Oryzias latipes: one gene and its partner. The protein of the gene in region 2 purifies or fractionates together with the protein of the main gene of each other region. This does not show direct contact. Links are inferred from orthologs where the notes say so. Each region holds a gene or a part of one and is shown on either strand. Other genes may lie near its edges.

Region 1 (3,756 bases), about 16 Mb from region 2:
TTCAATTCCATTTTATTTGTATAGCCCAAAATCACAACAGCAGTCGCCTCTATGGGCTTCGTACTGGTAATTGTAAAGTAAACATAAAATCATAAGGATCATGAATACATAAAATTCAATGGGAAAATTCTAAACTGAACTAAACAGACTAAACTACACTGGGCATCTCTGCCCTTAGAACCCCCCTCTCTGTAAGGAAAAGCTCCTAAAACAAATACGGATTCTGGAAAAAAAGAAGAAACCTCAGGGGTGTCCACATGAAGGAGGGATCCTCCCCCAGGACGGACGCACTAGAAGTCAGTTTACAATTTGGAAGAACCTATTGGGAACCTAATATATTGTGTGAAACTTGAAACAGAAATGTTTAAGTCCCGCTCCAATCATCTTTTGATATGTGGTAAAAGTATTCCCTGTAGTATTTTAATAGCATTATGCCTTTTTTTTCATCCAAAGTAAAAAAGCTGCGTTTTGAGGACATAGTTTCTGCAGAGTGGCAGGCGTTCTTTGGAAATTCGCTTTGGTGGGCACAGGCGCACAGATTGGCATATGGACGCACAAAGGCGCACGCAGCGTTCTTCTCTAAAGAAGCATCAAACCCAAACCTTTTCATTCTCACAAAGCACCGAGCCCCGGTGGGTGTGCTCCAGTGACAAATCAACAAACAAGCCAGAGTAGGGACCACAACCATTCAGCCTACAACAACCGTTCGGGGTCCTTCGACTAGTGCTGACGTCCCATTATGTGATTGGCTGTTTGTTGGTCTGATGACGTGTCAGATAGTGATTAGTCTGGACAAATTATGATACTACCATAGGAGAAGATATTATGAAGTCTGTTGTAAACAAGCAGAGCTCCGACACAGAGTAAGAGTATCTTCTAAATGTGCTTTTATTATGATTATTATTAAGTGCATTGCAGCCGAGCGGACTGCGGTCTGAACCCTTCTCCGGACCGAACACTGTAACAAAGAACCATCCCTGCCTGCAAACACGAAGCTACGAGACTGCAGCTGCTCAGACACACGGTTCTCTGTGGAGCAGCAGGTTCATTCTAACAGCCACAGATCTTTTTACAAAGTGGGTTGTGGTAAAATCTCTCCTGAAACATTACAAAGAATAATGTCAGACACAACTTACAAAGGAAAAGAACTTTATAATACAAAAGGAAACGTGAAATGTAAATATGTAGAGCCCGAGCAGATGTGGACGCTATGTAGTTTGTCCAAGTGGGGCCACCGTAGTGTGACGTTATCATCAGTCCAAAGGACCCCGAACGGTTATTGCAGGCCGAATGGTTACGGTACTTACACTGAGCTGGATATTACAGCATGATGGCTGATTTAACTGGTATCTACGATGTAATTATTTACTTTTTTAAAGTAAGATTCCCAACACTGTTTATCACTAGTTTTAATATTTAGTTTCCTGTTGTAACTTAGAAAAAACATTTGTGATTTGAACAAAGATCATTTCTTAAAAAATGTTCAAGTTGTGAATAAATAACCTCAAGTAGAAATAAACATTAGGGCTTTGATAAAAAGTCGATCCTTTAACCCTTGTGCTATCTTAGATGACCCCCCCCCCTTCCATTGAGGTGTTCTCCCTACCATGACAAAGGTGGATAAAGGTGGAAAGATTTCATGTAATCCATGGACACCAGTGAAGATCACAAATCATTGAAGAAAAAAGGTTCAGAGCACTGTCTAGTGGGTCTAGATGACCCAGTCCCAATGGTAAAGTGCCTAGGATAGAACAAGGGTTAATAAACACAGGGAACAACTGTTTTATATTGAAATACACAGAAGATCTTTCCAAAGAATATGTTTGGCCAGTGGAAGTCTAATTTGGCTGGTAAACTTTGGATGTCACAGACCATACTGGCAGGTATTTAGTGGCATTTCTTTGTGGGCGGCACGGTGGTGGAGTGGTAAGCGCTCTTTCCTCACAACAAGGAGGTTCAAGTCCGGGCTGGGGGACCTAAACCCTCTCTGTGTGGAGTTTGCATTGCGTTCTCCCCGTGCATGTGTGCTTTTTCTCCAGCTTCCTCCCCCCATCCAAAAACATGCTTCATAGGTTAATTGGTTAATCTAACTTGTTGTGAGTGTGTGGGTGTGTGATTGCAGACACTCTAGCCTGTGAGACAGGTGACCTGTACAGGGTGTCCCCTGCCTTTGCCCACAAGTGGCCGCGATAGGCCCCAGCAGCCCCGTGACCCCAAAAGGGATCAAACGGAAGAAGATGGATGAAATCATTTCTTTGCATTTGCAGAGTTTCTCGTCTTTTTGCACACTTACTTTGCTTTGCTGCAATTGAGGGTCTCAGCCAGCGTATGATCAGCTCTACAGTCCGTCCCAAGAGCTACGGCCTCACTCGTGTGTGTGAATCATCACTGTTGATGAAGGTGGAAGACCATTACTACATAAGTATTTGGAATTTGGCGGTCATCTCAACTTCTTATAAGTAGGTCAAGCAGCACCGAAAGCTGGGCTTTAAGTAAAACTTCTCTGTCCAATTTTCACGTCAGAACTTTGTTGCAGATCTTCTTTGTCCAAAGAATTTTGTCTGGGAAACAGATCTCTGACTGGGCCTACATGCAGAACAGCAGTTTGGAGGACCCAGCCTTCTCAAGGTCTTTTGGAGGAGCACTAAAGAGGGGCACTGTTGATGGGAGACTCTGTCTGGCAGCTGAAAGGGAGCGATGGAAGGAATGGCCTCCCTGATCTACCTGAAGATGTTGTTGGATATGTGTACTCGTCACAGATTTACGCTTGCAATGTTTTCTGTACCTGTTTAACTTCAACTGATGATATTGTTGGGTGGTGGGAGAAATATTTTGAGGCTCTCTTTAACCCTTTTGACACACCATCTGTTGAAGAAGCAGAAACTGTGGACTCTGGGGTGGGGGCTGTAGCCGTAAAACACACTTCTGAACATCTCACCTGTTCATAACGTTGTGGTCATATTCCATGAAAGCTGCACAGCAATGACCACGTTAACACAATGACCCTGCTGCATGCCGCTGTGCTGCTCCCCTGTGGCCTGATCAGCGTATCGCAGTCCAAGATCTTTGGACATCAGGCCTTCCAACGACCTGTGGAGGAAGTGTTCCCAATTATACAAGATGATCTGAAGGTGAGGGAACAGGCGCCGTCAAATGGTGTTACAGTTTTTCTCAGTCGCTTTAGTACAATTCTCAGATCAGAATTGAAGTTTGCAAATACGTGTGTGCATTTCTCAAAACAATTTGTACAAACAGCAAAACACTATGGATTTCTTGCAAAAGCCTGTAACTTGGTCAAAATCTTTAGTTCATCTCTCAAAACTAAGTCTTTATGTCATTGAACATGTCAGTGCCATCAGAATGTCAAGTCCTTGTGTCATTGTCTATGAACAAGACAGTCAAATGACTTAGTCATGTTGTCAATATAACTGTGTACTTTAGAGGGAGGTTCTGATGGAAACTATGGCTAAAGTTTGGATGACAATTATTGTAAAATGGAAGTTAAACCTTTTTTGTTTGATTGCAAGAGACTGGACAAGATTCACATTTACACTTTCATTGTTCATATTGTAATTTGTTGACAGACCATGTCACACCAACATAGAAAAAACCCACTGCAAACAGTAACACAAAGGGAAAAAAAAGATAGGACAATATTCTGTACAACAGTCCAGGCAGTGCAGTAGGAATTGGTGTGGTCTCCCTACACCTCTTGTCGTTCCTGTATGTTAGGCCACAAATTCTCATCCACATCAC
Region 2 (2,863 bases):
AATAACTCATTTAACCGTAGTGTATGTATCAGTGCCAGGCCCAGAGAAATGGACTTCATAAATGCATTGTCCAGAGAGAACATGTTGTACTTTAACTCCTCAGCAGGGAAACGTGACATATGGGATTTTTATTTCTTCTTCTAAATTAACTGAGACCTCTTCAATGTTCCCAAGTGACACAGACACAGCTAATTTTGCATCAGAATCTTTAGCTTGTGCAACAATACTCACTACTTCAACTCTTTGATGAGGTTTTTGTGAATCTTTAAGCAGAAATCCTCAACGGAGGTTCGTCCGTCAGGGAGCACGACGGGAGATGTGTAATCGGGAAGTTGTCCTTTGGGTTTGGTGTAGCTGCAAAAAAGCAAATTATTATCAGTTAGTTAAAATGTTCAGTAATAAACATATAGTTCCTGCTAGATTAGCTATTTCAATCCCAGAGGACCCTTTGAAGTCAGAGCCTCACTTACATGCGCACAAGCTTAAGGTAATCCCACATCTTCTCCAACAGGTCATCAAAATTCCAGCGGTGGTGGGCTGAGATGGGGACACAGTGTGGGACCTTGTAAATGACATCCAGCTCTTCAATTGAGATCTGGTCAATTTTATTTAAGACATAAATGCACGGGATGTAGACCCTGTTGAGACAAGGACAAACGGGAGTAAATGTCTGGAAAGCTGCAAGAAAACTGTTTTTACAGTTTCTTTTAATACTAATAAATTATAAACTAGATGAATGCAGTCCTGGTGTGTGCAGTCATAAATCACAAACATACAACCCACTTAACACAGCACACAATGCTTTTTTAAACAAATAAAAAAAGATTTTATCTGTTCTTGTAAATCTAGACTTTTGAGTCAGCAGAAGGTATGAAAGCTGGATCCTGCAGCTTAGTTTTTTCTTTTTTTAATACACCTGCACTAGTGTCAGGGGGTTCACATGTGAATTCTTAATGGCCACACCCACAGGGAATGACTGAGGAGCGCTGTGGCACTTCAGAGGCTTACCGATTTCCCTCCACCACATCGATGAGGTCATCAGCGGTGCAGTCGGCACGCAGAGTGATATCCGCGTTATGGATCTTGTATTCGGCCAGGATGCTCTTAACTGTTTCAGAATCGAGCTCAGTTTGTGGACACTAATGACGGACAGACAGAGAAAAAAGACAAAGACTTTGAGCTGTGCGATGGAAAGAAATATTGAATTAAATAAAATAAAAAAAACACTAAAGAATGATTTAATAACATAAAAAGACAGAATCATATAGGCACAAACTAGCATTTAGAAAATACATTTCTATTGATTTAAAGCATTTAAAATCAGAAGTAAATTTAAATATATGGAGAAATTCTTGCTTTGGTGCAGGAATTAAAAAATACCAACATTTTGGTACAAAATGTTTTGACTTTGCAACATCATTTCAGATACATCCCATTGGAGTGCAAGAATAAATCAAAAATTACAAAATGATTAAAATATTCATTCATTCATTAATAAGTGATCTATATTTTAACACTGCACTTCTTTTTTACTCTACTGTTTAGGAAAGGTGGCATCAGTAAATGTGAAGCCCTGGTGTGCTGCGCGTGACATACTGTGGTGGTAAAGTTAATGCCTCCTTTGTCCTTCTTCTTGAATCCGATGTTGGGTGGTTGTTTGTTAAGTCGGATTCCAAAGCCCTCCAGCTCGTGTTCTATTAGCTTCTTATGAACAAGAGGCTTCAACACATCCAGCACTATTAGGATTAGATTGCAGGTTCGAGCCACTAAAAGACAAAGGAAAGACAACGGCGAGCAGAAAAGAAAGACCTTTTAGTTTGTGCAGCAGGAGTAAAAAATTCTATAAAATATCATGGGGGGTTATTAATTTTACACAATAAATTAATTTGGTGGAAATTAAATCAAATGCTTAGTGTTCCTGCAGAAAAACAACAAATAAAATAAAAACAGGAAAGCAGTTTTTAAAGTAAAATATAAAAAAATATTTTGAATATGTTACATTTGCAAGATAATTTTGCAGATAATAGAACATTTTTAACATGAAATTTGAAGCCTATATGAGTGAGGGATCGCTCCATTTTCACAGTAGTATTTCTTATAGTCTAGTTGTGGCACAGAAGCACAATGAGCACACCTGCAATAACCTGTCTGCCTCTGCCCTTGCCATCTTTGGCTCCCTCAATGATTCCTGGGAGATCCAGAAGCTGAAAAGAAAAAGGAAAATACAAACTCACTGCAAACCAATCACTCCGACTTCTTATTTTTTTTCTGGAAACAGTGAAACAAATATTGAGATTCTAGTACCTGAATTTTGGCACCTTTGTACCGAATGACACCAGGTACTGTTGTAAGGGTGGTGAACTCATAGGCAGCAACCTCAGAATAAACACCTGCAAGATTACTCAGCAGTGTTGACTTTCCGACTGAAGGAAAACCAACAAAGCCGACACGAGCGTCTCCTGTCTTTGCGACATCAAAGCCTGAAAGCCACAGATAAGTCACAATCAACTGGACAGCAAAGGTAAACATAAGACAAATGTTTACATTTTGTTCAAAAATTAACTAGATTAAATTTGAAGCTTTTAATCACACCTTCCCCGGTTCCACCCCCACTGCCTCCTTTTGGTGTGATGAGCTCCCTCCTCAGTTTGGCAAGGCGTGCTTTGAGCAGACCCAAGTGGTGAGCTGTGGCCTTGTTCTTCTGAGTTCTGGCCATCTATGGGATACAACGACACCAGTTTGCATTATAGTTTGAATGCAAAATTCCCAGGTTGTCTTTAAATAAAAGTGATATTTTTGTTTAAATGCAAGAGTAAATATACAGGACATACATTGTTTTTTTATACACATCCTGTTGACTGAT

Evidence for each region. Proteins that work in one complex are often made in the same cells at the same time.
Region 1: the proteins of drg1 (region 2) and ntmt1 purify together in Homo sapiens (affinity purification with mass spectrometry; 3 studies listed by BioGRID and IntAct, counting the BioPlex papers as one, with this or other methods). This does not show direct contact. The link is inferred for Oryzias latipes from reciprocal best matches to the Homo sapiens genes DRG1 and NTMT1.

What each region holds. Positions count from the first base shown.
Region 1 is NC_019870.2:30,133,493-30,137,248, reverse strand, and holds the start of ntmt1 (N-terminal Xaa-Pro-Lys N-methyltransferase 1), read right to left. Parts: upstream 2,861-3,756; 5' UTR 2,786-2,860; intron 2,389-2,785; 5' UTR 2,294-2,388; intron 1-2,293. UniProt on the Homo sapiens protein: Distributive alpha-N-methyltransferase that methylates the N-terminus of target proteins containing the N-terminal motif [Ala/Gly/Pro/Ser]-Pro-Lys when the initiator Met is cleaved.
Region 2 is NC_019870.2:14,587,015-14,589,877, forward strand, and holds part of drg1 (developmentally-regulated GTP-binding protein 1), read right to left. Parts: exon of another isoform or gene 2,832-2,863; intron 2,717-2,831; coding exon 2,593-2,716; intron 2,481-2,592; coding exon 2,305-2,480; intron 2,205-2,304; coding exon 2,135-2,204; intron 1,767-2,134; coding exon 1,597-1,766; intron 1,140-1,596; coding exon 1,009-1,139; intron 639-1,008; coding exon 471-638; intron 355-470; coding exon 232-354; intron 1-231. UniProt on the Homo sapiens protein: Catalyzes the conversion of GTP to GDP through hydrolysis of the gamma-phosphate bond in GTP. Appears to have an intrinsic GTPase activity that is stimulated by ZC3H15/DFRP1 binding likely by increasing the affinity for the potassium ions.